Caenorhabditis elegans: one gene and its partners. The protein of the gene in region 3 interacts with the protein of the main gene of each other region in a pairwise test. Each region holds a gene or a part of one and is shown on either strand. Other genes may lie near its edges.

Region 1 (6,840 bases), on a different chromosome or scaffold from region 3:
TATTGTCAGCTCTCTGTCAAACAGACCAACGGACTGCGTCGTTTTGCTAATGAATACATAATGTGACATATTTCCAAAATACACTTCCAAACGAAAAGCAACGGAATTGAAGAAAGGTGATGGTGGTGGTGGTGGAAGTCGGATCAGAAGATGGATGGCGGTAAGTGGTTCGATCGGCCCTGTTGATAAAGAGCACACCAGCTCATTATTTTTATTACACACCCCCATGGAAACGTCCGATCAAAACTCATTAATTTAGATTAGGAGATGAGGAAGGAGGAGAAGAAGAAGGCACTTTGTGATGACAGGCAATGTGAAAGCTTTTGAGTAAGATCGGAATGTAATCAGAGTAAATGTGCAACAATATCAAAACATGTGGCGGTTGTAAAATCGAGGAAGACTTTTGCCAAAACGCGAAAACATAATGCCATAAAAATAAGAAGTAACAGAAGGATGGCTGAGAACCAGAGACAAAGACAGAAACCCAGCAATGGAAACTAGAGGTTTCCTCGAAAATTTTCTAATTTTTCATGAAATAGTTTTTGCCCTAATGCTCTAACCTAGAACGAAGAGTACAGTGAGTCTAAGCCCCCCTTCGAGTGGACGAATAAGACGAGTATCGGGTGCGTGAAGTGTACCGCTGGTGCTCCTGTCGCTAAGCATGCTCAACGACAACTCGGGTGCCCGATGGTGGTATAACTAACAATCCGCAAACATGAGATGACTCCGTGTCTTTTCTCCTTATTCTTCTTCCGTTACTGTTCTCGTATTCTTCACGCATGTTCGCGCCCCTATATCTTGTTATTGTTCAATGCGGAACGAATTTTGGAACTAAAGATGGAAGGCTTTAAGTTTGAGAAGAATTTCATTATGTTTTGCTTCAAAAAATTTGATATTTAAGGCAAATGAATTTTACAAAATCAGTTAAAAAAACATTGAAAAAGTTTTGAAAAAAACATAAAAGTGCGCCTCGTTCTAAAATTTGAAAATATCCAGATTCTGATATCTTTTTCTGAGAATTTGGAAACAATTTTTCAAAAACAACATTATAAGTTCACTAAAGAAGTTAAGTGATCTGAAAAAAATTAGCATCTCAGTTATCTAAAAGCGAAAAATAAAGAGCAAAATGTGCCAACCCACTTAAAAGGAAACAAATGATCTGCTCAATCTGTGTCTGTCTGAACGGGATTATGTTACTCCCCAAAAGAAAAGGAGGACGTTCGAATAAGAAAACGAGAGTAACACATCCCAAGTAAGCAAACACTGCCTCAATCGGAACACGTCCATTGGGGATTTGCTGTGGACAGCATTTTTGACAAGAAATTTGCAGCATTTTTGGATTCAGAAAGTTGACATGAGTTTTTCGGGTTACCACTAGATATTTGAAAAATTCAGTTGTACTTTTTTGGAGTGATGAAAATAAAAAGTAATTGGTAATCTTCTAATTACAACCTGATCCCCTATTGTGTCAAAATTTATCATTGAAAAGTTTAAAATTTCTAACAATAACTTCAACTCAATTCCCATCTATCTCTTGGTTCTCAACAATCTCCAATTTCATTCGGAACGGCAAAACTGCGCACACTATTGGGGGCCACTTTTCTGTGGTTCGGGGGGCGAGATGTTATTCGATACTATTTGGTATAATAATTTAGGAAAGCTAATTGAATCGAAATGTGTGGCATTTTCTCAGGAGTCAGTGGCAGATAAAATGAAGGATCTTCATCAAAATGTTTAGTAGTAGAGGTTGCACAATCAACCAACTACATTTGATTAATGGGTGACCTTCCAAACAAACGGCAATTGCCACAAAAATTGGGTGAGTATATTGAATGAGTGTGGGAGGATAAGAAGCACAGAGAGATGAGTTGCAGTGGTCATTTGTTATCTCATTGAAAAAGAGCAAACGATTTGAGGATACTTTCTTTTTAAAAATTTTAATCATCGGATATTGAGAAGTACAACTTTATACCTTCAAAAATTGGTTTTTTTTTGTTGTTTACTCTATGATTAACCGCTTAAATTTAGATGTAGTTCATGGAGTGAACAAAACTTACTAGTTAGAGCAAGAATAAGTTAGCTATGTTTTTGTGAATGGGAAGGGTTTATTTTAATTTATCATTCCTAGATCAACAAGTCTTGAAACTTCAACCAGAAATTAATTCTGGTAAACTTTATGTAAAAACTGTATTTGGAAGATTCAAAAATTCCCTAAAGCACAGGCAAAAGGCTTGTCAAGTGAATGTTTTCAGTTATCCATCACCACATCTGCCGTAATATTTTCGTACCAGGCTTGTGTTCAATTGACAGGCTCGTAACGTTTCTCTTTTTGATAATTGATGACCCCTTAAACTATTGCTATCTCTTGCTCAATCAAATGGACAACTGCCTCAAGTTTGCAAAACTTGATCTTGATATCAGAGGGCTAAGCAAAAAACTTTGTTCAAAGAAAAACTAGAAGAAAATCGAGAAAAACAGGAGGTTCTTTTGAGGCCAGCTACACCTAATTACTCTCCCAGTTTCACTTGATCCATGGCAACCAAACGACACAAGCAATAAAACAAATAAGACTTACTTTTGAGGTGAGGTTGTGCAACGAGTCGAGGATTAAATTGTAGAGCGAGGAGCAGTTCTCCAAAAAGATATCCACTTCCTCAGCCGACGATTCGATGACCTGGAAATTAAATTATTGATCATTAAAATGGGCAAAGTAACAGCTGGAAAGATATCTAGGAGATATTTTTAACGATGGTTGTACACGCGCAATTCGATCTTGTACAGCTGCGTAGTGCAATTTAATAAAACAGTTTATAATTTGATACAAATAAAAAACCAAAAAAGGTGAAACAAGATTTTCAAAAAAATGTAATTTGTTATTTTCATTATTTAAAATTGTCAAAATTATTCTGAAAAATTAAAATATGCGCCCATTTTTCTAAATGACCCTCACAAACGATTTAACGACAATCAATGGCCACCCGCTCTACCAAAAAGAAGTGCTTTGCTTTCAGTGTGACTGTAAAATTGGTAATTCCGAGTCAATTTACGATTTCTCGACCTTCCGGGCGGCCCACTTTGCAATAAAACGAAGAGTAAACCTGACGTTAATCGATTCAATTGCCAAAATTGAGAGGATCAAGGAACATGGCACAGGAATCGTTGTGTAGGAACAACCAAGTTTGGAGAAATGCACTCGAACTTGCAAGTTGCTCTTCACTGCCGAGATGCGCACCTCGAGAAACACTTATGGTATTGGGCACTCGGAATCATTCTCTTCTTACTAACAGCTTTTGCCAAACAAAGTTACTAGTAGTCGCGCTCTGGGAATGTGTGTGAATGGCGTGAGGATTCAATGGTCCGCATATTGTTTTTGGAAACAAAAAGAGAAATATGGGGTAAGTCAACAAAAAAAGGTGTCCATGAATGTGTTGACTTTGCGGTACCTTAACAAGGAAATCTGGGAAATACCTATACTTACTAATAATACAATGAAATATTTTACAAGGAACCTAAGGTGTCAGTCAATTATTTCTCATGCGAATCTTTTAAATATTAAAAAGTATCGCATTTTAAAGGTTTTACACATCATTTAGCGGACCAATTTTGATAACTTTTATGTTTTTCCTGAAAAATGGCTCTCAAAATTATGTGCAAAATCTCTGAAGATCAATATAATTATGTTGTCTGAACTTGATTCTGCGCTTTTTTGCTAATAAATGTACTTAGCACATAGAAATAATTAATATTTTTTAATGATAAATTTTCGCACACTGAAATATGGGAATGTCTTAAAATCTCTTGAAATTTAAACTCCCGTCATCAATAGTTTTACACTTTCTCCTTCAAACTTCTTTTCAAGATAACCACAGTTTTCAATTCAATTTACTTCGTCGTCCCCCACCAGATCAAAACATTCGATAAGAAAAACTAAACGATGCGGAATTTGAATGTGCGACACTAACTCTTTCCACCTCCAGTTATAAATCTTTGAAGCACAGCGAAAAAAAACTTCAGCCGTTCGTCTTTAGTCAATCGAAAGAAAAAAAAAGATAGCGTGGAATTCGGGATTTTTTGCGCCAAAATTGAAAACTCGGCCTCTCGGGCTTTTTGACAGCTTTTTGCAAACAATTGATGGCGCAAGGGTAAATGCTCAAGCATTTTTCAAAAAGGCACTTTCAATAATCAAATAGATTTGAAAAATAAAATTATTTTCGCTCGTTTTGGTTTAGAAAAAAACTACATTCTACTTTGGTTTGAATAAAGAAATCGAACTTTTAATTTTTTTTCTCCTACTTTTAACGAAATTTTACTTTTCAAATGAATTCAATATGCAAGAAAATGCGTTGAAAATTTTAAAGTATTTTTTTTTCGTAAAATTTAAAGCTCTGCCTCACCTTCAAAAGATGGTCCTCCGATGATATATCATTGGGCATCTCGACCTCCGAGAATGAGTCCATTACGTCCATTCGTAACCTGTTTTCGGGTTACTTTCGGTGTCCAGGAATAAAAATAAAAAAATCAGAGAAGTTTGTATCCAGACGTGGGATACTGTACTGGTAGGGGTGGACGATCAATTACGCATCTGCGCAATATGATCACGGATGAGAAACGGATCTGGAAAAATTTAGTTTAGACGGAAAAATACTTAATCAAAACGAAATGAGGTGAAAATTTAAAAATAGAAAAAGTATATACAATTTTTTGTGTGTAGAACAAAATAGGAAAAATTTCGTGAAAAACAAAGAAAAAGAGATTAGTTGTTTCATTGGAGCTGAAAATAAATTTCAAGAAGAGATTTCTGTTGAGATCAAAGTCAAGAAACGGAAATTCAAGTCATATTGAGGATAGAAAATTTGCAAAATATATACTCAATTCAAAACTAGCCTAGTTTACCAAAAATCTATGAAAATTGTGTCGAGCAGTAAAACATCCTTTTAAAGATAATAAAAAATGTTTTTAATAAAAATGTAGAAACACACGAAAAACTTCATAAATGTTTTACTTATGTATAGTACGGTTTCCATAAAATTTGTTAGGCCAGTTTTTGAAAATCCAAATAAAAATCCATGGATTTCATGCCCTGGACAACAAGCCATCGCCCGCAAAAATGTTCGCAAATTAAAAGATAAACATAGAAAAGTGTGAGATGCTCGAAATCTGCCCCCCAATCCGAAGTCTCCGCCTTAATAAACAATAATACTGATGAGAGAGGAGAATCTAGAGAGTTGGGAAGAGAAGCTTGTGATGATGATGGATTATCATGTCATTCACACAGTTTTCGTTTCTTTTCGACACCTGATAAAATAATAAAAGATGATAATTATGATGGAGATATTGTTTTATGAATTTTTATGAAGATTTATGAAGATATGAAAATATGAAGAGATAGGTGTGAAAGTGATAAAAAAGAGATTGGACCAGGGAAATCAGCTGGAAGATTTTATTTTGTGTGAAAAAGTCTCGTGATTTCCAATAAAAAATATTAAGCAAAATTTATGGAAATTATCACAACGAGGTCCAAGAAATTTCCAAATTACTACAAAATAGGTTGTAGCTTTCAAAAAAAATGTAACTTGATTTAGAAAGTTCTGGAAAATATCAATTAACAAAACGTTGGAAAAAATATTTTTGAACTTGTTGAAAATTGAATTAAATTCCTTTTTTTTAAATTCAAGTTTCCACCCATTCATTTTTCAATTAAAATTGAATCTATGGAAAACTGGAAAGGAACAAATCGAAATTTTGAAAATGTTCACGAATAGATGTCCAACAGCACATGGCCCTGACACTTTTCGAATTTATTGGTTTTGTTGCAACAGGAAGTTCCCCCAATAAATGTGATAGAAACACAGTGAAACGATGGGATAATGGACCCAAGTTAATGGAGTCGGAAACGGCAGACAGCCCCGGCTCATTTATCACCAATGTGCGAAACATTGTGATACTAAAGTAGAAAAGGAACACTTTGTAGTGCCCGAATGTTTTACGAGTTTTAGAAATGATTTGAAGTACAATTTAGAAATTTCATACTTGAAATATTCTGAAGAACATTGCAAAATTTCAAAAAGAAAACATTTGTTTCTAGACTAACATCAAAATTACAACGCATTACCAAAACTGCAGAATAAACTTCGAACGTCGTGTCTAATTTGTTTCACAATTAAAACTATTTAGGCCCTTTGTCTCAAATGTTTGAGGGAATCTACGGCAAGTACTTGCATTACTATCAATTTGGTAGAATGTTGGCTCTGCATTGGTTGATAATAAAAAAGAAGAGACAACCGTTTTTATTTGATAATGCAACAAAATGTCGCCCAAACTGCGCTTCTCGTTTGCCCCCAGTGACTCATAGAGGGGTAACACTTTCAAAAACAGTTAGAAAACTTCAGCTCCTTCTCAAAATGCGTAAAGCCATTAAAAAGTTTTCAAAAGAAAATTATGCCTGAGCTGATCAGTTAATTGAAGAATTTTGAGTGTTCAAATGCCAGCAGAGAATTTCCAAAAACACTTTAAAATTTCAATATTAATTGTAAGCACATTAATAGAAATTAATTTAAATTCCAATATTTCAGAATACTTCCTTTTCTCCGAAAACCTTTCAAACAATGTCATCTTCAAAATGAACATGATGCTAATCAGTTCATTGATAATTTACTTGATACTCCTATGCCAATGGAGTCATAAAGGTTGAAAAACTCAGTCGACACGTAAACATTTACTACCACCTGATACTATCTCGATTGCTACTGTGAAAATTGGCAGGAATGCAAGAAAACAACGGGCGCCTGTAACTAAAGGCGGTCAGCACCAAGACAAAAAACGACAAAGAAATGATAATTT
Region 2 (10,280 bases), on a different chromosome or scaffold from region 3:
TCCAGATGAAAAGTTAATGAAAAAGTAAGGCCACCAAGTGAACCTAACTTTGGCCTAACTTTTCACTTGGTGTGAAAAAAAAAATGAAAAAGTAACGCTTTTAAACGATTTCGAACCTGAATTAATTAATTTCACTGATTTACGCCTGTAATCGTGTTTTTTAATCGAGCAAAAATGCACCGAAAACATTAAAAATCGGTGGAAAATAACAATAAATAAAATAAATAAAAATAAAAACGTGCAAGCGCGCTCCATCGAACAAATCCAATTGGCGGTAATTAAAATAAGAATTAGGCAAAAACTGAGATTTTTTCAATTTTCAAAAAATCATATAAAATTTAGAAAATTTTTTTGAATTTTTTTATCATGATATTATGTCATTGTGGTACCATAGGCGTGTTTTAAAGCAATTTCCCCACTAGCGCTACTCCACCTTTAAACGATCCACGTGTATTCAGCTCGACCAACGCCTCGAAAATTTTCTAATTTTCAAAATTTTTTTTAATAATTTTTTTTTTCATTGCCAAGAGGAATTTCACCGCAGCGCGTGCAAAAATGTCTGCATTTGCGCGTGACGGTGTTTGCACAAATGACACCAAATGGTCGAGCTGAAAACACGTGCGATCTTCGTTTAAAATTAAAAAAAAATTGTACCAGAAAAAATTGATACAAACCTTAATGAGCTCGTGAAAAGTTACACGGATTTCTGGCTTCCGTCATAAATTGAAATGGAAGAGTTTTTGCCGAACTAGGCCATTTTGGCTCGGCCATATCTGGGGTAGATTTACGGCGCGTTGCGTGTCGCGTCGCGGCTTGATTTTAGTTGTCAAACTGAATGTATTTGTCCGTGTGGAGTACACAACTTTCCCAAGTTGAGTGGAGAAATCGAGTCAAAATGCAATAACATTGAATAAAGCCAATTAATAAAAAAATTTATTTGAAAAATTTTAATAAATTTTACGAAAATCGGCGCTTAAATTGAAAACCAATTATGCAAAATGCGATGTGACGTCACAGGGTATTTTCCCGCCTTTTCGAGTCATCATTTTAGCAGTTTTTTGTGTAAAATTCGTGTAGATCACGGGTAGATCACACAATTTATCTCTTATTTCGTATTTCTGTTTTTTTTTTTTTTTTTTTTTCATTTTGATCTACATCAGGGGTGGGCGGCAAACGATTTTTCCCGGCAATCGGCAAACCGGCAAATTGCCGGAATCGAAAACTTCCGGCAAATCGGCATACCAGCAGTTTGCCGATTTGCCGAATTTGTCGACAAATTAATTTGTCGCCCACCCCTGATCTACACGAATTTTAAACAAAAAAAAACATTCCGCATAAAACCGCCTCCTTTTAAAATTGTGAAAGTGGAGAAACAAACACACGTTAAGCCAAAATTTCTTTCATTTCGTGGCCTAGAAAATCCAAAAACTTAGGCCACTAATTTTCTCTTCCTCATCCACTTCGTAATATCCCTGTGTATAATGCGTATACTTTTACACCTCATTGAGTTGAGACGGATGGGGTGAGGGGTCCCAATGTTTCAGTGGGGGCCCCCTATCTCTTTTTCTCTGCACTCTCTCTCTCTCTCTCTCTCTCTCTCTCTCTCTCTCTCTCCATCTTTCTCCGTATGCTCACATTCATCCCACCGCTGCTCTCTGAGCCAATACGTCTCCCCCCCCCCCCTCCTCTCCTTTTGCACATCGATCCGTCTTGTGTCTCTCTTTCTCTAATACTCTCTATTTCTCTAAGTCTCTCTCTCTCACTCACGTTTGCCTAAATTCACTTTCTCCAGTGTTCCCTTGAGTGCTCCGAGAGCAAAAGCGTATACCACGAATTAATTTTTAATTCGTGTATTTTTGGCTCGATTTTCCCTTTTTTTTCAACATTTTTCTAAAAATTATTGCTGCAATCGCGCTTTAATGGCAATATTACCTGAAAATTCGTATGTTGTTGCAATGCAATCGCGCTCTATTGGACAAATTTTTAATCCGAATTTTGAAGTTTTCTTTAGTGGAAATCTCTATTGAAATTTTTTTATAAATTGTTTATACAAACACGCTCTAATGATAAAAAGGCTTTAAATTGTGTACTCCGCGTGGAAAAAAGCAAGTTTTTTGTTGTATTTTTTGAAAATATTTTTTTTAAAGAACTTTTTTTGAATACTCTGTGTAGTTCTCGTGGACAAGTTTGGGCCTATTTCGCTTAAAAACCTGAAACACGCGAAATTCCAGTTTCGGGGGATTTCAACTACCCGATTAGAAAAAAAACTTTTTTCACAAATTCAATTTCTGCCGAATCAAAATTCTCCGGAATTCAAGTTTCCGCGAATTTCAACCTAAAAAAATTTTAGCTCAAAAACCGTAAGGTAGTTGAAATCCACGGAAACGAAAATTCCGGCGAATCAAGTTTCCGTGGATTTCAACGCTTATTGAACAAATTTCTACAAAACGCCCCCGGGAGTTCAAATCCGCGGAATCGAAATTCCCTGGGATTTTGATTTACCGGGATTCAAGTGGTGTCAATGGGAGAGGAAATGCATTTTCTCTTACGCGCGTGGTGTCAGAGTGTCTCATTTCGGTTTGATCTACGTAGATCTACAAAAAATGAGGGAAAAGAAGAGACGCAGAGTTCTCAACTGATTTCTCATTCCCGCATTTTTTGTAGATCAAGCCGTAATGGGACAACCTGATACCACGTGACCGTTATTATTTTTCTCTCAATCCTGAGATTTAAAATCCCGCGGAGTCGAAATTCCCCAAAAATATTTTTTGTACTCCTCGTGGACAACCTCGTTGGTTCCCTGAAACATATTGGCTTAGTAATGTGCCAAGCAAATCAGCGCGCATACATGCAAAACCCATTAGGCTCCCCCCAAATGTCTTCTCTCCCAGAGTTAGACTCCGCCCACTAGGAGCCAGAGCTCCCCCAATTTTCTTTGTTTTAAACCCTACCACTTTTTAGCTCTGGCCAGCCATTTTGTGGGTGGAGTTTTGGTTTAAATTTTTTTAAAATTGATTTAAAATTTAAATTTTAAATTTCAGACACTCTGGGTTTTTCTCCTGAAATGTTGTGGTCAAATGGTGGAGGAGGACCACGTGAGCCGAGCAGTGCACCATCACCAGACCATCATCGTGCAATGCATTCTGTACCACCAATTGTGGCATCTGAAATGCAACAATTGATTGATGAAATGCGTGGGTGTTCAATTTTGCGGGAAAATTGGCTAAAAAACGCTAAAAAATTCCCGCGTTTTTGATTCTCCGGAATTTTAACTTCTATGGGATTATTTTTCGGTGGATTCGAATTTTCGGAAATTTTCAATAAATCTTTTTTCATTAGAGATTTTCAAAGAAAAAGTAGAAAAAATACCTAACTATGTAAAAAAAATTAACGGAAAATCTCCACGTTTCTAAGTCTTCGGAATTTAGATTTCCCTGGAATTAAGTACTCGGTGGATTTGAATTTACGGGATTTTTTTTCTTTAAAATTTTTTTCAAATTTATGTTCAAGTTAGCACAGCAAAAAAATTTTTTTTTTAATTCACGTTTTTGAATCTACGGAATCCAATTTCCCTGGAATTTCGCTTCCGCGTATTTGGATTTCTGAGTTTTTAAATATAAATTTTTGCAGAAAATGTGAAAATTACGTGGAAACTCAAAATTCGCCGAAAAAGGACAAAAAATCTCGAGTTTCCAATTTAGCGGAATAAAAATTCCCGGGAATTTTGTTTCCGTGGATATTAACTACCCAAATTTTTTACCATTTTTCTCAATTCCAATTTCAATTTTTTCATGGAAAAATTGGTTAAAAAACGCAAAAAATTCCCGCGTTTTTGATTCTCCGGAATTTTATTTTCTCTGGGATTTTTTTTCGGTGGATTTGAATTTTCGGAAATTTTCAAAGAAAAAGTAGAAAAAATACCTTATTATGTAAAAAATTAACGGAAAAATTTCCACGTTTCTAAGTCGTCGGAATTTAGAGTTCCCTGGAATTAAGTACTCTGTGGATTTGAATTTACTGGATTTTTTAAAACAAAATTTATACGAAATGCTCAAAGTTGATACACTCTCCAAAATGTTCATGAAATTTACAAGTTAACACAACAAAAAATGTCAAAAAACTCCGCGTTTTCAAATCCCCCATTATCGAAATTTCACGGGAATCCAGATTCCAGGGAATTTGGCATTCGGGGAATAAAATTTTCGGATTTTTTTCTATGAAAATTAGTCAGGGTCTGGATAAAATAACAAACGAGTGGAAGCAAAAATTTCGCCGCAAAAAGAACAAAAAACTCGAGTTTCCAATTCCGCGGCATAAAAATCCCGTGAATTTTGTTTCCGCGGATATCAACTACCCGACTTTTTTAAAAACATTTTTTCTCAATGCTCAATGTTGTCGAAAAAACACGGAAATACCTTCAAAAAAAATCCAAAAAAAAAACCCTAAAAATTCCGGTATCCAATTCTACAGAATCGAAAATTCCCTAAGAATTTTGTGGATATCAACTACCCGAGTTTTTTTTTGAAAATTCATGAATTTTTCCGCTACTCCTCTTGAGAAAGGGAAGCTTATAAATAATTCTTCTTTGCGAAAAAGTGCAAAAAAATTATTGGCTTTCATTGGTTAATGCCCAAAGTTCAGAAAAAAAGTTGAATCATCAATAGAGCGCATTTTCAGGTCTCCAAGATTTCGACTCCATCAGATTTGCCACGTATCGAGCCGCCTGTAAACTGCGATTTATTCAACAAAAGACGAAAGTTCATTTGGTAGATATTTGGAATATGATTGAAGCTTTTCGAGAAAACGGACTCAATGCATTACCCCTACATACTGTGGTATGTTGCAAGTGTGCTCTATTGAGAATGTGGGGGAAATTTTCAGATCAAAACGTCACGCGCCGAGCTTCTGCTAACTACAGTATTCCACAATTTGAATAAAAGACTTGTAGCGTCACAACATGTGGACACGGATGTATCGATTTCTTTGCTACTCGCGTTTTTGTTAGGTGCTTATGATAAGTGAGTTTTGGACTCCTCTCGGACAAAAAACTCACGCTTCTGAATCCCCGGAACCCAGATTCCCCAGGAATTTAGATTCGGCAAATTCGAAATTCTAAGAATTTTTTCTTGTGTTACTGCGTGAAAACTGTGTATTTAGAATTCCAATTTTTACTGCAAAAAATAACGAAAAATATTCGGGTTTTCGTGTCTCCAGAATCTAGATTCCCTAAGAATTTTGATTCCGCGTATTGGAATCTACGGGATTCAATCTACACATGTTCTGTAAATAACAGAAATTTTGGTAATATATGAAAAAATTTAAAATCCTAAAACTGAAAGAAAATTTCCGGTTTTCGGATCCGCGGAATTTCACATTCCACCGGAATTTGGTTCCCACAGATTTCAACTATCCGAAATTTTTTCTGTTTTTTTTTGTTTTCAGCATAATGTTTTGATTTTTCAAAAATGAAAATTGACTGAAAGAGCAGAAAAAATCTCAGGGTTTCATATCTCTGGAATTAAAATTTCCCAGTGAATTTTTATTCATATAAGGACACTTTGCAAAAAAATTTTTTTTTGATAAAGTCACGGATTTCTGGCTTCCCTCATAAATTGAAATGGAAGAGTTTTTGCCGAACTAGGCCAGTAGATTTACGGCGCGTTGCGTGTCGCGTCGCGGCTCGATTTTAGTTGTAAAACTAAATGTATTTGTCCGTGTGGAGTACACGACTTTCCCGTCCGGCAGGCGATTATCAATGGAGCGCGAAAAATTCAATGAGGAAGGCCAAAACCCCGTGCGCAGTTAGGCTGTAATTCTCACAACGACACTCCGATATTCCGCTACCTAGAAGTGACGTCACACGCTTCAAAAGCCAATTTTTCAGACAAAATACCGGACGTTTGACGGTTTTTTCAATAAAAGTCGCGTTGGCAACACTCTGCGCTGGAAAATTGGTGGACAAGCTGAGATGTGAGTTGCGCTTGCGAATTTCAAAAAAAAATCTGAAATTTCAGACATTTTCTCTCAAATCGCTGATTCGAATGGATTAATGGATCATATTAAATTTACTGATTTTTTGCAACAAATCCTCTCCCTAACCACTGCAGTTTTCGAAGCACCGACGTTTGGATTTTCCGAAAACGCGGTTAATCAGTGCTTTCATAAGGATGAGAAAGTATCTTTGAATGTGTTTCTGGACACTTTTTTGAGGTAGATATCAATTTTGGAAATAAATAAAAAAATAGATTTTAGAAAAAGTTTTGAAAAAGTTTTGAAAAAATTAACCTTTTACACAAAACTACGTTAGCATGTGGTGCCAGGTTGTCCAATTACGGTTTGATCTACAAAAAATGCGGGAATTTTTTCGCCCAAAAAATGTGACGTCAGCACGTTCTTAATCATGTGAAATCAGTTGAGAACTCTACGTCTCTTCTCCCGCATTTTTTGTAGATCTACGTAGATCACGCCGAAATGAGACACTCTGACACCACGCGCGAAAGAGAAAATGCATTTCCTCTCCCATCGGGGGGAAAACCAGTCCCTCAACTCACCCAGAATAATAATTTAGGTGTCTTGGAAGTTCTGAAACACCTAACATTTTGAAAAATTAGAAAAAATAATAGACGTAGGGCTGAAGTCCTCCCGCGGCCACGTAAGGCATCCCCGTGGCCTAGGATTTTCAGAGCGGTGTAACTTTTGAAAAACTGTAAAAATTTTTTTTTAATTCTGCAATAATTGTATCTATAACTTATTCAATGAAACCAAATCAAAAAATCGAATTTTTCTTTTCATGGGGTCACGGGTCCCCACGCCGCCACCGAAGTCCTCGCCGTGGCCTAGAAACTTTCAAACAGTGCATCCCTAAAGCCACTGCGCCGATTTTCTTGAAACTTTATCAGAACACTTTATATAACAATTTCTATCAAATTATCAAATAAAATCGAATTTTAGTTGTCATGGGGTCACGGGTCCCCCCCCCCCCCCCACGGGGTGACCGAAGTTCTCACCGTGGCCTAGAATCTTCAAAATGGTGTAACTCTATAGCCACTGCGTTAATTTTCTTGAAAATTTATCAACCAACACTTTGAAACCTGTTCTGTCAAATTATCAAAAAATCATACAAAATTAATATTCCAGCGATCCATGTCCCCCATGCATAATGTGGCTCCCCTTGCTACATCGAATGGCGTCTGTGAGCAACGTGTACCATCCGGTGGTGTGTGATGCGTGTCAAGTCAGAAGTTTCACAGGATTTCGGTATAAATGTCAGCGATGCGCCAATTATCAGTTGTGTCAAAGCTGTTTTTGGCGGGGAAGGACGAGTCAAAATCATTCAAATGAGCACGAGATGAAAGAATATTCCAGCTATGTGAGTTTTTTGAAAAATCGATTTTCCACGTGGAGTACACGAAAATGTATCTATAAAGCGCGCGATAAAATTATTGATTTTCCGCCGGCGATGAAGAATCGATAAAATTATTGATTTTCCGCCGGCAATCAAAAAAATCGATAAAGTTATCGATTTTCATTCGACAAAAACGATTAGTTAACAGAGAAATTATCAATTGCTGGACAACAAACAATCAATAAAAATGTAGATTTTCCGCCGGCAATCAAAAATCGATGAAATTATTGATTTTCCGCCGGGCAAAAAAAAAATCGATAAAATTATGGAAAAAAGCGTTCTCAACTCCAAAATCAATAAATCAATAACTTAGTAATTTCAGAAATCGCCGACAAAACAGCTCGTACACTCAATTCACAAAAGTCTCCAATGTATTCCTGCCACGTCAACCGTCGGCGATGCAAACATCGATATTTTTAACGCAAAAATCGGTGGCCCGGTCAGCAGCAAACCTGCTCGACCGCTAAACCTGAACAACATCGTCCCGGCGACACCGACGACGATCCGCCGGCAACACGCTGCCACGTCATCAGCGGACTGGCCGACGTCACCGGTACTTCTGCCGGGACAGGCGTCGCATGGAGGAGTTATTGATGATGAGCATAAGCTTATTGCGAGATATGCAGCAAAGTTGTCGGGAAGGGCTGATGTGAGTTTTTAATCGAAAAAAATCAGGAAAAAATCAATAAAAATCTTGATTTCCCGCCGGCAATAAAAATCGATAAAAATCTTGATTTTCCGCCGGCAATAAAAAAAATCGATAAACATCTTGATTTTCCGACGGCAAACAAAAAAAATCAATAAAATTATTGATTTTCCGCCGGCGATAAAATTCGATTAAATTATTGATTTTCCGCCGGCAATCAAAAAAATCGATAAAATTATTGATTTTCCGCCGGCGGCAGAAAGTCAAATTATTGATTTAATAAAATTTGATCGATTATCGATTTTTCTTTTTAAAAATCAATAAATTGCAGTATCCCCTATCAAACGGTCGAAGTATGAATAGTTCAATGGTCGGAGACGAACGGACCCTTATTGCTCAACTGGAAGAAGAAAATTCAATGATGGTACGGGAAATGGCTCGACTGGAGAGCCAAACAACTTCCGATGACGGGCTCGCCGGGCTCCGCGACCGGAAAATGGAATTGGAAGAGAAAATGTTTGAAATGCAACAGAGGAGGAGAGAATTAATGATGCAATTGGAGCATTTAATGGCTCAGTTGAATGTAGGTCATACCTACTGTGGCTAACGCGCTCTATAGATAAACAATGTAAAAATCGATAATTTTGCAGAATTCAAAAACAATCGTTATATTTTCCTCCAAATTTAGAAAAAATACTTGATAATTTTCAAAAAATTCGAAAAATCGATAATTTTTATATTTTAAGAAAACAAAGTTTTTGGAGTTTTTGATTTTCCGCCGGAGATAAAATCGATAAAATTATTGATTTTCCGCCGGCGATAAAAACCGATAAAATGTGTAAACCTGTCGATTTTTTAAGCTTCAGTAAAAATCAAAAATTCAATATCGGCTTTTCTGAAAAATTCAACCTTCAAAAAATCAATAAAATTAAATTATCGATTTTTTGATTTCAAAACAACAAAAACCTTTTCCAGACGGGACCCCAACCATCAGGAGGTGTATCATCTGCTTCTCTATCCCAATTACCATTCACTGCATCGGATCAACAGTTGACTGGAGTCAATTCGACAGTAGCAAATGCATTCCGTGCGGGAAGTCTGCCGGCGACAAGTCTACAAGGAGACTTATTACATGCTGCTGATCAAATTACTACTAATATGAGCGATCTTGTGCGGCAACTTGATTTGGGTGAGTTGTGACGCTGGTTCATAAATTAAAATATATATAATGACTTGGTGACTTGGAAATATTTTCCAAAAATCGATAATTCTTATTAAAAAATCAATAATATTGGAAAATCGATAAAATTATTGATCTTCCGCCGGCGATAAATAACTATGATATTATTGATTTTCCCCCGGCAATCAAAAAAATCGATAAAATTATTGATTATTCGCCGGCGATAAAAAATTGATAAAAGTATTGATTTTCTATCGGCAAAGACTATCGATTTTCTCTCTTTTGCGGCAACTCGATTTGGGTGAGCTCCGACGTTGGTTGATAAAAATCGATAATTATTTTGTTTGGGGAAAAAATCGCCAAAAGTCGATAATTTTAATAAATCAATAATTTCGAAAAATCGATATTTTGGAAAATCGATAAACATAGATTTTTCTGATCACCGCAACTCGATTGTGATAAAATCAATAATTTTGAAAAATTGGCAACTCGGAAAAATGGTTCAATTCCAAAATGATTATTACAAAATCGTTTCGAAAATCGGCTAATTGGGAATAACGAAAATTTCAAAAAATCGATAATGTCCAAGAATAGATAATTTTCATATTTTGATACTGCTGAGAAATTGAGAATTTCTGAAAATAATTTTACTGTTGGTATCTAAATATCAGTAAAACTCTTCGCTGCGAGACCCACTGCCTACGCCTTGAAAATGAAAGTTCCCAGCTTCACAAATGTATAATAATACTATTCGCTGCGAGACTCACTGATGCACCATTAAATTGGAACTTCCGAGTTTCACAAACGTATAATAATATTATTAGCTGCAAGAGCCACTGTATGCGCCTTGAAAATGAAAGTTTACAGCGTCACCAACGTATAATATTACATTTCCCTGTGAGACCTTCCTCGTGTGCCTTTTAACGGAAAGTTTACAGCTTCTCAAACGTATAATAATACTTTTCGCTGCGAGACCCATTTCGGCGACCCTATAATAATTTTTTCCAGCTCAATCAGACGAAAATGGCGTAACAATCAATGGCTTCTGA
Region 3 (8,096 bases):
TAGTTCACTTTTTTTTGTATTTGAATTTAATGTAATTTTAGTGTTTCTTTTATTCTTTTCCAAAAAGATAATGCATTTTTTGCTTGAATTCAAGGATATTTTCATATAACACGAAACCGAAACCGGGAAGTATTAATTGCTAAAATTTATGTGGACTACGGTAGTCAAGTCCGCAAACACCACGCGCATTTTCATAATTGCGTACATTTGTTTTTCAAGCTTTTTTCTAGGCCAGAGGTACCAATTTACACGCCGTGTGAGAGATATCAAAAATGGATCTGCTATGCTTCAAATTCACGTTTTTTGCATGATTCAGGATCAATTGCCGTTTCGGCAGATGAAACTGTGAGTTCGTGGTGTAATGGTCAGCATGGATGCCTTCCAAGCATTCGACGGGGGTTCGATTCCCCCCGAACGCATTATATTTTACATTGTCTTTGAAATATAATTTGTGATCTACTGCTGATCGAACATTTTGAATAATTTTGCCTTCCTGTAAAGCATAGAAGCCGGAAGTAAAACACGCGTCAAATTAGATATATTGTAGGAAGATCTAAGAATTAAAAAAAAGTTGAATCAAAAACATTTTTTGCGTTCGGGGGGAATCGAACCCCCGTCGAATGCTTGGAAGGCATCCATGCTGACCATTACACCACGAACGCTCGTTTCGTTTTGATGAAGTTGCAATTGATTTATCATGCTTTATTTCTCATCAATCCTAGACAGTGTAAAACAGGTTCATAGGAATAATTCAACAACCAGGTATCCTTGTGGATATCTTTCTTGTTATAATGACTGTTTCTGAAGATGAAATGAAATCTTTCCATCTGAAGATTTGATGCCTCAACTATGCGTTCGTGGTGTAATGGTCAGCATGGATGCCTTCCAAGCATTCGACGGGGGTTCGATTCCCCCCGAACGCAGTATATTTTACGTTTCTCAAACTTTTTTGTCATGCTCATGATCATGCCGGAAAGGTTAGAAAGGCCATGTTTGACTTGTCATGCCAAGCTTCTAAAATGAATTGATTTCTGTTGAAACAACAGTCTCAAAACTTCAATCTCAAAAAAAAACTTCCCACTCAAGGTTGTCAGAATGAGAACTGACGTTAAAACTTCTAAGATGCCGTAAATCAGAGTAACACGATTTTTCATAATTATGCATCACTTCACCTCACCAATTCTGAAAACAGATTTTCTTCTACAATGTTTTTTCCATAAAAAAAATCCTCAGTTTAATATGTATAAGTTCCAAAAGTTGCTATTTTTGACCACAACATTTTCATTTCGAAATGCGTGCCATTAATCCACGAGTTCTTAATGTCTTCTCAGTTCCCTTTTTTGTACTTCGAGAGACTCGCCATCGTCTTATTTGTAAAGTTCATTGCACTCATAGAGAATTTAAATCGAGCATCGCGTAACAAAGCGTACAATAAATAGATAAGAAATGCCATGTTAATTTTTGAATGTTAAATGATGTGTTTCCCATAGAAAAGTGCTCAAACATTGTACGTTGGATGCTCCAGGAAACGTTAAAATGAAAGAATTATCGGTTTCCATCAATGACTGTACGATACGTGTGCATACCATCCAACTTCCTGTAAACAATGCATTTTTGATTAGCAATAGGGAAGTTTACAAGCAAAACTCAATGAAATTGGCTTACGTCATCAACATCATCAAGAAGAACTGTCTTTGTGTTTTTGGAGAAATCGAAGCTGTAGATTTGAGTAGCAACAATATCATCCATTAAATTCGGAGATTTCAATGAATGAATCTGTAATTGTTTTTAATATATATTTCAAAAATGAAATCAAAATTAATTATCATACCGAAATCTTCTCATGTGGGTGAATGTGAGTTGCAACTGGTAAGATGAACGTTCCAGTTAGCGCTCCATTCACATAATGATTGATTTTCCAGTTAGAAAGATCTTTGGACTTATAGCTGTTTGAGTTTTCAATGACGATTGATTCATCTTTGTGCTCCTAAATATTTTTTTTCAGTTTGAATTGCCCAAAATAATATTCACTAACAATAATCTTAACATCTCCTTTTCCATAGCTTCGGAACTGTTGGGTGTTAATGGTCGATGCGGAGCTAATGTCGTAGTTATCATGGTGTACTGTTTTGTTATCTGAAATTATTTTTAACTACTTTGTTTCGATTACGGTCACGACGATAGAATGCTTGAAAGCCGAGAATGTGCCACTTTTACAGGTGAATAAATTATTTTGGCTTTACTGGTCTAAAAATGCCAAACTTTACCTTTCGACCGAAAATGTACCAACAAGGAGGGATTTTGTCTAAATACACATATAATGATCCTAAACGATCAAATATCATGGTATAGCACTTTAAAAACTTTTGGATTTTTAAAATTTACCGTCAATGTTTTAACAAATTGTAAAATTAAAAAAAGAAAAGCTTTCAAGGAAATACAGACCAATGTTGACTGTTAGAATGTTTTTCCCCTTAGAATGTTTTAACACAAATAATTAAAACAGAATTAAATTACAAAATTAGTAGAAAAATGATTTTTGGTCGACATCCAAAATTATGAGTGCAAAAACTGAGTAATAGTCACTTTTCCAAATTCTTTTCGAAAAGTTTTATTATGATATTTGGTCATTTTGGCACCATATGATTACGATAAAACACTTTCCCCGCAAGCGCTACGTCACCTTTAAGAAAATTTATAGCTAATTAAAAAAAAAAACTAATGCAATCGCGCATTGGTCAAAACGCCATCTGTAAAGCACAAATTAACAGGAACCAAATTGTAAACTGACTAACGTGTATCTCTAACATTCAGTGAATATGATGATCCATAATGATGAGAAGATGTGCGCATCAAAGGCGATGGAGTATCGATTACGAAATCGCTTTGGTAGCTTGTCCGCAGATTTTCAGCTTGTTCCATCAACTTGCGGTAGTGAGCAATTTCACTGCGGAGGTTCTGTAAATCATGGTTCTTTTTATTTATATAGAAAATTGAACTTACGATCTGGTTTTCAACTAGTGTCTCAAGTTCAACAGATAGTTTTGCGCATTCATCTCTCATTCTCGTCACTGCTAGTTCCTTTTCAGTGAGGGATTGTTCAAACATTCTCAATTCTTCATCTTCACGGAATTTCATATCTTCAATTCTCTTGCTAAGAGCTTGGGTCTGAAATTGTTTTTAAATTAGTTTTTCCAAAATCAAAACCAACCATCGAGTCTGCGTCGGAAATTTTAGTGCGCAACTCATTAAGCAATGATCTGATACGTAGAACTTCTTCCTGGAAATAACAAATTAATTCACAACCTCAAAGTGCATGTCACTTACTCTTGCTTGATTCTGGGTAAGACTGAATTTCTCAGAACGTTTCTTGATTTCGGTAATCTTCTTCTTGTACCACTCCTCCCATGTTTTACGAGCTTTCTTCGAGTCTGACTCGAATTGATCACGGATTTCTTTCATTGACATGTGAAGCTCTCTGTGGAAGAACTCGCGGTTCTTGTCTGTAGAATCACGTCTGGCCTTGTTAATTTCTTCACGAATCGCAATTTCGTGAGTACTAATCGTTGCATTCAACTTCTTCAAAAGATCCTGAGCAGCTGTTTGGGAACGAGAAAATCCATTGCGTTCTTTGTCACGAAGTGCCAAAATTCGCTTGATTTCTCCACGAATGCGAGAAATTTCGGTTTTCAGGTGAGATTTTTCATCGTCACAATCATTGATAAGTCTTTTGATGTATGCTGTCTCAGACTCCAAATCAGATAAATGCTTCAATTGTTCCTTTTTATCAGAACGAACTCTTTGGCGATGTTCGAGTGAACTCGCTAGGCTGAAACAAAATGTAATTGAAGTTTATGTTTTTTATCTCTTTATCTCACGTTCTAATGGCCGTTGTGATTTCTGGCTCCAGCTTTCGAATATTCTGCTTAGCAGATGACACTTTGGCTTCCTGCTCGCGAACCAGAGTTGCCAATGACTGTAAATTTGAGTAATGAAATAAAACCTAAATACTAGAAACTGACGGTTTTCTCTGCATCGTAGTAGTCTCTGACTTTGCCAGTATGAATATGAGCAGCTTGGCGGAAAAGACCAATGTCATTCTCGAGAACCCGGTTTTGAGCTTCAAGGAATCGGACCTGAAATATTATTTTTACTTATCAATTAACTAAATCTTATCATTGAAAAAGCACATGCATGCTTATGGAAACTTGATCAAAACTTCTCACTTCAATTTTAAAAAAAGCAAATTAAAAACTAATGCGCGCTTGACCATTTGGAAGAAAACCCACAAAAGTTCTTTTAAATGTATTACTGATTTAGATTCACAGCTTGTTAATTTACACACCAGAGTATTAAACGTTGATTTTTTTAAACTAAACCTTTCCTCATAAAACCGTGTTGCTTTTAAACTTCAGGCGTTTCAAAACAGACACCTGAAACGTTATTGTTCTATTTTTGATATTTTTTTAAATGAATGTTTTTTAAAATTAGAACACGTGAACAAAATTATGGGCAGTTCATTGAGAAAAACTTGAAAAAACACTACAACTCTTTTTTTGAATAGAATTATGGTAGGCACAATTTTTTTAATAACGATAGGTTATATTTGATAGTTATTCGGTCTATAAAATTGTGTGCCTTACATTAAAAACCAATAACAAAAAATTGACTTTTCATTCTCTGATCTGAAATTTTTTTTATTTGCAATTATGATAGCCGTGTTTAGGGTTTGGTCATATTGCTTTCAATTATGCTAGTTTTAAAACAGATGAGGCTTGAAAACATTGAAGACATGGATTTTCTTTATCTTTTTTTTTATTTAATGCACGTTTTTTTTTTTTTTTTTCTTAACTTCTTCAAAACGTTTCTTGATCTCCAGTGCTCTCAAAACTAACCTTTTCAACATATCTAGCCAATCTGTTGTTCAAATCTGCAATCTCTCGTTTTTCTCGATCTCTATTGTCACGAATCGTAACAGCTGCCGCTTGGGCATATGCGGACAGTGAGCCAGCAGAAGTAATTCCAGATGGCAAGTTTGTTCGCCCACTCTCAATTATTCGAGATAGCACCGGATTATGGGCTACACGAGGGTTGAGTTTGCTCATTTTTTAAAGCCTGGAATCAAAATGATGTGAACGATATTGTTTTTCAAACAAAAAAAAACTGAAATATGCTGTAAAGCTTAAAACAAAGCGGTGATGTGAATGAAAATGAAAAGACGGGAATAATCTGACAAACAGTGTGCATATTTCTGTTATCAGCCTTCGTATTCTCTTATCAACATTTTTTCACCACTTTCAGTGCCACAAGAATGCTGCCATTGTATCATAGTGCGGAAAAGTTGTACAGATGGCACGAATTATCGTGTTTAAAATTTAAGTGTGAGAAATTGGTAGTGGCTCGGGATCAGAGTTTACCGCAAATTTTTATTCAAAGGAAGAAAGTCACATGCCCTTCCGTAGTTGTGCGCTTATGTACATATTGAAAATCACGTCCAACGTTTCCGAAAATGTTATCATTAGAAAATTCCTCAGTGGACCCGGAATATTTCAAACTTCATCAGTCCTGTCAGTTGAAATTTACAATGGCTAGGAAGAAAGCGCAAAAATAAGTGTTAACCAAAGTATCTTTTAGATTTGCCTTCCTAATTTTTCAATTTGTGTTTTAATAGAAAATATTTATATCACATTAGCAAAGACAAGGGTGTTATTTCAAAAATAATTTTCAATGTGCGAAATTAATTTTTTTTTCACTTTCTAGTTTTTTTTTTAATTTTGCGATCAACATACATATGTCAACATTCATCACGTAGTATTCCGTTTTCATTCTCTGTAACAAAAATAGTGATAGAACGTGAAAAAATGAGAATGCCATTTGCCATCTCAACAGAACAGAAGAGATCCCCCACAAATTTCAAAAAAAGGAGTAACGGTTCAGGGTATTTTAAACTCATATACTCAACATTTAATTTAATGAACGGCATTCGTAAAAAACCTTTAAAAAATTTTCAAACTTTTTTTATGGTGATTCATAACTTCGAAAAAATGCTAATTTTAGACACAGCTAGGCCTGTGGAGTGGGTCGCCCTTTTTTTGGGTCGGCCGGTTCGGGGTCGGGGTCGCATCTCCGACCCACTTTTGGGTCGGGGTCGCGGCCACGTATTTTCATATTTTCAATTATCGTATTTTCATCAATTATAAAAATATACCTTATTTTCGATACAAACGTTGTTGCATATGTGCTAAATAACAAATTGCTAGTTGCAACTTTCTTGCTATCTTGGAAGACTGTCGAGATATGATCGTGAAAACATGAGCAAAATGAGTAGCTTCTTTGATCGGCTGTGTCCCCGTTCTGTATCAAGATAGCAAGAAAGTTGCAACTAGCAATTTGTTATTTAGCATATATGCAACAACTTTTCAGTTGACAACTTTTTTGCATTTCACTTGCCAACAGAGATGAATGTCTTCAAAGATAGGGTGTTTTCTAGCATAGATCTAGTGAGTTTTTGCCGATTTTTCGCCGGAAAAGTGCAATGAGACATCAAAAACGGTAGAATGCGACTAACAAATGTTTTTCTACAATGTGAACCTTTTTTTAAAACTTTTTTGAAAAAAAAAACAATTTGTGAAAAAAAATCCGCATGCTCCAGGTTTGCGAATCTTCAAGTTTGAAAATCTTCAAACTGTAAAAACTTTCCAAAAATTAGAATTTGGCTGGTTTGCTATTCCAGAAGCTTAAAATCGATACGAGACTTTCTAAAAATTCATGTAACACTGTTTTTGAGCATATTTCAGGTTTTGGGAAAAATTGCAAAATTAAATTTACCCGTGTGGGAAAAGAACCACCGAAATGTGATTATTGACGTAAACGTTAACCAATCGGCCATTCAAACGGTGCTTTCAGTGCAAAACTTTTATGTAGCCTTTTCTACACGTTAAAAACAAGCTTTTCAACAGAAATAGTACTAAATTTTCAGACGGAAATTTTCAGCCCTGTGTGACTCGCCAGCAGAAACGAAAAATAAATTATGTTAGCCAATGATCTTAGCTTCCGTTTGACCTAAAAAACTTTCAGATTGAGGCGTGCTGGTGGAAGATATTCCCTAGTAAGCTACTTTTTGAGCGGATAATCATGATTGTCATTTCTGGTTTCCTATAGCTGTGACACGGGACATTTGACAATTTTTGAGAATTATTATAGGATTCTCATTACAAAATTTTCGGTAGGTTCCAACTCGTTTTCAATAGTTAGTTGTCCTTTAAATCACATACAAGTGTCTCATTCATGTTGTCAAGACTTTATTTGGATGAAAATCATAAACTGGCTGTCAAATGAATAACTTATAAGAATTTAAAACAATGTTCATTTAGTAAAAAAAAAACAGTAAAGTTGGAAAATATCATTAATTAATTTTAGATGAATGGTTATTGAATCATATAAGTAGAATATCCGTTATATTTTATTTTCCAAAATTGAAAGACGCAAGGTTGATTGTTATGTCATCCATTTTGGTTGGTTGAGCTGAAAATCCTAAATTGTTATGGTTTCAGAAATTTGATGAGGTACCCGGTAGAAGTTTCCTATTTAGCTATTTGACACATTGCGCAATACCGTATTTTCTCTATTAATGCTGCACCCCAATAGTCCTTTCGAAAATTAGTGCTGCAGTTTCTATTAATGCGGCACCCATTTTCCATTAAATGAGTCACCTCAATAGCTTCGACATTTGGGGGAGTGTTTTTGTTCATTTTTGATTATTTTTGATGGTTATTGTTAATTTACAAACATCATGAAATCATTATGTCTTTATGTTACAAAAATATTCACTCCTTATGAATTTCTGCTTAAAAGATGAGCTTTTGTGACTAAAAGCTAGTTCGAAAATTTGCACTGCCGTCTCTAATAGTGCTGCGTTCAAAAAGGGACTGAAAATAAGTGCTGTAGCACTAATAGAACACTAATAGAAAATATATGGCAAGAAAATATAAACTCACGTGCGTTAACAACATTTGATTGCGTTGCAATTTTTGCCATTTCCACAAGTTCCATGATTTGAGATTCTTTGCTGAGCAGCCCGGCTTGGTTGATATTGT
Region 4 (5,513 bases), on a different chromosome or scaffold from region 3:
AATCAGATGTCTGCGAGTTCATTTGAGAATGCACGTCTTCTTGATGTTGACTTGATTGTTGATCTTGTACGTCGGTTTCGGGTGTTTGAACATATCCATTACCAGTCATAATCTAAAAATGTGATTACTTGAAAAATTCTGAACTATAAGTCACATACATCCAACAGTCTTGTATCATGAAGATACTGTACATCAGAATCAACGACTGGATTCGGGAGCTGAAATTATATTATGTAAACTGCAGGAGGTTGTGGCTTATATGTTCTGGGAAATTTTGATAAGCAAAAACCAAAATGTGAACAATTCAAAATGAACCAGGACACTTTTGCCACATACTGATTGATATCCATTTCGGCTTACAGCATCACAGGTGTGTAGCTTTTGTGGATCTTCATGCACACTCAATGCGACCCAACCTGCCAGAGATGCTTGAGCCTGCAATATTTTTATTTTAATAGTTTTTTTTAAAATCGATAACTTACTTCAACAATAAAACTGCGTCCATCATAGTGTTGACATGATGATTTGATCAGACTAAAGTCGTCAATAATATGATCATAGGAAATATCGTAACTGGTGAAATCATACAAATTATTTTTCCGATCTACTATTACATCAAATCGAGCTGTTATCTGAAAAATTATAAAAATCCGTACTCTTTATTTATTAAAACTTTTTCCATTTGAGATTACCAAAATTTCTCCTTCATCGTTAGCCTCATACTTCGGAAAGAATCTCGCCGATGAATTTCTGTGATTCGGCAAAACGTCCCAGTTTTCATATCCACAACTATTTGAGGAATCCAATACGTATTGTCCCACGAAGTTCTGACAAACAGTTAATCTAAAATTGCTAGTTAATAAAATCAGATAAAATAATGTCTAACTTTAGCCAGCGTCCTATCTGCAGGCTCTGAATATTTCCACTGATTTCGACAAATCCATCGATATTTTTGGTATAGAAAAGATAATTTCTGTTTCCATATTTATTGTAACCAACTACCAATCCATATATTTGGGTTTGCGGTTGTTGAATTTGTGGTTGGGGATTATACGACGATGATGGCTGACTTTGAGCATAATAGTGATTTGGAGGAAAATAAGAATGGTACCCATTATGCATCTGAATAGCAAGAAAATGAATATAGTTATAAATCAGAACTGATGTAATTAGCAATGACTTTTAACATAGACGTGAGCACAAATGGTATAAAACAGTTTGAAAGCATTTATTGTAAATGGTTCCCCGAAACAAGAAACTTATTTTTTTCATAGAAAAATTAATGTGATCTTCTCGTTTCGGAGAAACACCAGAGATGAAGAATAGGCAAAAAATAACAAATTAAGAGCAAAAAATATGAGATTCATAGAACAAACTGGATTATTTCTTCTGTGCTTGGGCTGCTGCTTGAGCCATCATCTGGAAGCTTTTTTGCATATTCATCACCTTGTCTCGCTGTTCCGTACACTTCTTCGAAATGTCTGAGATGCTGGCTTCCACTCGTTTGCTGAAAATTGTAATTAAAGTTTTGTTGCATTTTAAAACGTTTAAAGGTAAAATTTATTTGTTATTTTTATTTGTTTCGTGTAAATCAATAGCGTGCAAGAAGTAATACTAAAGAAACATGATAAACGTTACAACTCACGTCTCAGAGTCGATAAACTCAAGCCGTTTCTCCACAGTCGATCGAGCCTCCTCCAAATCTTGACGAACAAGAACCGCTCCGATGAGTTTGTAGACTTTCGAGTCGGATTCCATCAGATCAAGCTCCTGAATGAAGATAACATGAAAACTGAATCTCAAACTTTTTCTTACCGCTTTCACATTTTTACTCTCAGTTAATCTCATTTCCATCTCTTGGCGACTCGTGAAGTACTTTTCGCGGTCTATAATTAAACGATTGAAAAGATTGTTTAAATTAACAGTTACTAACCTTTTTCAAGAGTTCTGAGCTTGTTAACTTCTTCTTCGAATTTAGCCATATCAGCCATTTTGATCGTTTTTAGTGGGAAAAGAAGTGAAAGAAAACAAAATTGTGTTTAAAAATCTAGAAGAAAAACGGGTTCTGCGCCATCCTTCAAAGCGCCAGCAAGCTTTCTTGACGCATTTTCCGTTTTTGGCGGAAGTTCAAAACTGGATTGTATATGTTAACTTCAATTTTGTTATGCTTTTGCTAAAATTTCATTCAATAGTGACAATACGAAATATTTTCAATATAGATATTTCCAGAATCGTGAAAACCAACTTTGCATGGAATCTTGATAATATTCTTCGCGTATCTGAAAGTTTTAGCTTAATTATATACAATAATTAAATAAGTTTCTTGTAAGTTCAGGGTATTTCCCTAGGTTCTATAAACATAAAAATATATTCTTACCTGTTTTGTCTTTTTCAATTCTGACTCTAGTTTTGATAATTGAATTTCAGAAGAACGAAGTCGGTCTCCAGCAGCGTTGAAATGCTGGAAAAAAAATCAATTTTGTTTTAGCCTTGATCCACTTTTTTGAAAGTCTAAAAAAAATTGAATAAAATATTTAATATACACTGTATCCAAATATACTAATAAATCATAAAACAAATCGTAAAACAGAAACCATAAACTCACCGATTTTTCAATTTGTTGTGTTTGAATAAAATCATTTGAATCGGTATATAACTGCACTTTGATTGCATTTCTTGACTCCCGATAATCACTCATCACATTCTCAACTGCTTTTTGTCCAGATTCAGCGTCTTGAAATACTTTCTCGAATATTTCTTGGCGTTTACGAAATTCTTTCTTCTGATTTTCCGTTTTTCTGAAATTGTTTGAAAATTCAACAAATCAGAATGTTCACTTTATTTTATAACAAAACGAAATTTGAAATTGCAACTTTTCTAATCTTTACAATCACTCTAAAGTGAAAACTACAAGACCAATAAGGGATTCGCTCCGCCTACGTTCAGACCAATCAGTGACGCTACTCCGCCTTCATCCGTTGATTGTTTCAGTAGTAGGCGGAGATAGTCGCCGATTGGTTCTTATTAGGAAAGTCGCGTTTCACGTGGTGTCAGGCTGTCTCATTGCGGTTTGATCTACGAAAAATGCGGGAATAGTGTTCCAGAAAATTGTGACGTCCGCACGCTCTTCACCGTGCGAAATCAGATGAGATGTCTGCGTCTCAATTCCCGCATTTCATGTAGATCAAACCGAAATGAGACGTTCTGGCTCCACGTGGCGTTTACGTTAGGTTTTTATCGCTGCTCTTTGTTGATACTACAGAAATTGAAAATTTTCGAGTACTTCAAGACAAACCCCAATTCAATCAAAACGTTGCCAACTATTTTATAGGGATCTTAAATAGTTCCAGATTAGTATTAATTCATGCTACCCAAACTTTAAGTTACGGAAAAAAAAAAGTTTTGAAACTTAGTGATGTAATGCCAAATATCAAAGTTTACCTCACTTTAATACGAATATACCTATTTGATTATGTTTCTGAGAAACATTTCAATTTAATAGCTAAAAACCAACATTCCACCTACATCGATTATCATATCAAATTGCTTTTTTCCACCTGTTTTATGAAAATCGGTAAAAATGGTTGAAGAAATTGACCAACAAACATGACTTTTTGCAATTAAATATTTTTTTATGAATAACAAAGCAAAAGAAATAAGTTCCTTATAATTAAAAAAGGAAATTACTCCTACCTTTTTGCAAGCTCCGCCTCTTCTCTAATACGATGCTGCTCCAATTGTTCAGCTACCTTCTTGAGCTCAATTTCCCTTCGCTTTTTTCTCCATTTTGTACGTTCCCGTTCTCCACGTTCACTTTTTGTCGGTGACGACGATGGCGATGACTTTTTTGTTCTGAAACGATAATTGGATGGTCCCCCGTCCTAAAAATGGACATCTGCCGTTGATCGACAATTAGTTTGGCGCCGAATGGGTGCCGACCTCCTCTGAAGAACTCACCTAGCGAGCTCTTCTTTCTTTTTTCTTTTTTCGATACCGCCCGTTTTTTTGGCCATTTTGCATTAATTTTCGGAAATGATTCAAAGTTTGCAAATTTCTTAACTAGATATTCAAAATTTTGATTCACGTGTACTCCAATGAATTGCAAAATTGAAAAGTGACACCTCAACTTTTATGAAAAGTTAGGAATAATTTGTTACTTCCAACTGTGTTGGTCTACAAAGCATTCTATATATAATACATTATATTTAAACCAGCCGTGGACCGCACCTACGGCGCGGCCCCCGACTTTTTGAGAAAACACATTAGATATACGGTGTCTATCGCGGACCTCGATCGATGTCTGCTGCGCATTTAGCATAAGGTTTCCCAAAATTTCGTTGCTCTGATCAAAGATCAAACTACATAGGGACAGAAGGACACGCGCTTTATATATAGTAAATGATGATATAATGAGCCAACACAAAATATGTATCATTAAATCATTATATCATTAATGATATTTATCATTCGAATATTAAAACCAAATATATTTTATTAACTAGTTGATACCACAAAACTCTGCAAGTTAATTTGATGGCTTTGAAGATTTGAATATCATTTTTAAATATCCAATTCATGATAATAAGTTATTTCATATTTATATAAGGAATGAAACAGTTTTATATTTGTTCAGCTCTCTGGATAGTTTTGAAACTCTTGCTAAACATTTCAAAAAACATTTAATACATTACCACTTCTAAAATGTCTCATCCATTCTATTTTCTGTTTTTCCGACTCCCACTTGCTAATAGATCCGTGCCATTTGTAGTATTTATTTTCTGCAACACAAGATTTCGAAACCAGTTGAAAGTAGAGTTCCAAAGCGTGCCTAGAAACCACTTTACGTCAATGTGAGTCAATATGTACACGAAAAATTGAGGAAAAAGTGAAATAGAAGATTCTCGGAGTTGGGGCCAACTTATCACGCCAGTGTTACCCGTTAGTTTCATTGTTATTGTTTATGTTACTGTGTATTTACGTTTGGTTTTTTTGCCACGGAAACTTCTCATATACTTTATTCATAAAAATTACGTTGGACGAAGGGCGTCTCAATATACATTTTAGTTGGCAGCTTGCATCTAACTGCAATTAAAAATGTGTTACCGTATATTTAAACATTGCAGTCTCCATCCACCTTCATAGATTGAGCATTCATAATTGATTTACACTGCGCACAGCTAGATCCTCGCAGCATTGGTTTTGTGGACGCACGAATCGAAATCTAAGATTTAACTAACGGAAGCTTCTGGAAATTAGTAATAACCAGAGAATATGCGGTGACTAAAATGTGTTTTTTGTTGTTCTATAGTTTTGAAATTGAACATTAATCCATGAGAAACGAAGACATGAGCTTCCAGCATGCAGGATTGAGATGAAGGTAATTTGAATGAGTTACTATTAAATATGTTCGTTTGAAAGAAATCACATGCGAGGGTATTTCTTGAGCAACAACACGCTCGAGTGCAAAGTCTACAATTAATACAAAATGTTCATTAATTGGAATAATTTTTGAC

Evidence for each region.
Region 1: the proteins of ifd-1 (region 3) and unc-83 interact in a two-hybrid assay, tested with the Caenorhabditis elegans proteins (one large-scale study listed by BioGRID).
Region 2: the proteins of ifd-1 (region 3) and dyb-1 interact in a two-hybrid assay, tested with the Caenorhabditis elegans proteins (one large-scale study listed by BioGRID).
Region 4: the proteins of ifd-1 (region 3) and pfd-6 interact in a two-hybrid assay, tested with the Caenorhabditis elegans proteins (one large-scale study listed by BioGRID).

What each region holds. Positions count from the first base shown.
Region 1 is NC_003283.11:6,462,839-6,469,678, reverse strand, and holds the start of unc-83 (Nuclear migration protein unc-83), read right to left. Parts: upstream 4,615-6,840; 5' UTR 4,467-4,614; coding exon 4,395-4,466; intron 4,246-4,394; exon of another isoform or gene 4,046-4,245; intron 3,293-4,045; exon of another isoform or gene 3,112-3,292; intron 2,675-3,111; coding exon 2,576-2,674; intron 1,715-2,575; exon of another isoform or gene 1,506-1,714; intron 1,370-1,505; exon of another isoform or gene 1,230-1,369; intron 1,087-1,229; exon of another isoform or gene 947-1,086; intron 736-946; exon of another isoform or gene 587-735; intron 1-586. UniProt on the Caenorhabditis elegans protein: Cargo-specific adapter that is involved in nuclear migration during development and thereafter.
Region 2 is NC_003279.8:1,480,042-1,490,321, forward strand, and holds the start of dyb-1 (Dystrobrevin-1), read left to right. Parts: upstream 1-3,041; 5' UTR 3,042-3,064; coding exon 3,065-3,194; intron 3,195-4,677; coding exon 4,678-4,835; intron 4,836-4,881; coding exon 4,882-5,018; intron 5,019-5,812; exon of another isoform or gene 5,813-5,884; coding exon 5,885-5,970; intron 5,971-6,014; coding exon 6,015-6,210; intron 6,211-7,137; coding exon 7,138-7,369; intron 7,370-7,565; exon of another isoform or gene 7,566-7,586; intron 7,587-7,727; coding exon 7,728-8,054; intron 8,055-8,382; coding exon 8,383-8,634; intron 8,635-9,026; coding exon 9,027-9,240; intron 9,241-10,239; coding exon 10,240-10,280. UniProt on the Caenorhabditis elegans protein: Plays a role in cholinergic transmission and as a functional partner of dystrophin (dys-1), necessary for muscle maintenance. Required for localization of ctn-1 near dense bodies in muscle cells.
Region 3 is NC_003284.9:8,819,334-8,827,429, forward strand, and holds ifd-1 (Intermediate filament protein ifd-1), read right to left. Parts: upstream 5,116-8,096; 5' UTR 5,106-5,115; coding exon 4,896-5,105; intron 4,137-4,895; coding exon 4,023-4,136; intron 3,977-4,022; coding exon 3,879-3,976; intron 3,830-3,878; coding exon 3,328-3,829; intron 3,281-3,327; coding exon 3,212-3,280; intron 3,169-3,211; coding exon 3,004-3,168; intron 2,959-3,003; coding exon 2,796-2,958; intron 2,137-2,795; coding exon 2,036-2,136; intron 1,988-2,035; coding exon 1,832-1,987; intron 1,777-1,831; coding exon 1,666-1,776; intron 1,598-1,665; coding exon 1,559-1,597; 3' UTR 1,370-1,558; downstream 1-1,369. Other genes in the region: rcs-1 (RING-type domain-containing protein), read right to left, coding at 7,463-7,524, 7,998-8,096. UniProt on the Caenorhabditis elegans protein: Cytoplasmic intermediate filaments provide mechanical strength to cells. Not essential protein.
Region 4 is NC_003279.8:7,281,750-7,287,262, forward strand, and holds pfd-6 (putative prefoldin subunit 6), read right to left. Parts: upstream 2,014-5,513; 5' UTR 1,992-2,013; coding exon 1,934-1,991; intron 1,887-1,933; coding exon 1,816-1,886; intron 1,771-1,815; coding exon 1,646-1,770; intron 1,508-1,645; coding exon 1,381-1,507; 3' UTR 1,215-1,380; downstream 1-1,214. Other genes in the region: rde-2 (SH2 domain-containing protein), read right to left, coding at 1-112, 159-218, 337-435, 483-632, 693-843, 887-1,122; F21C3.6 (DUF4200 domain-containing protein), read right to left, coding at 2,211-2,279, 2,378-2,461, 2,606-2,798, 3,694-3,852, 3,958-4,013. UniProt on the Caenorhabditis elegans protein: Binds specifically to cytosolic chaperonin (c-CPN) and transfers target proteins to it. Binds to nascent polypeptide chain and promotes folding in an environment in which there are many competing pathways for nonnative proteins.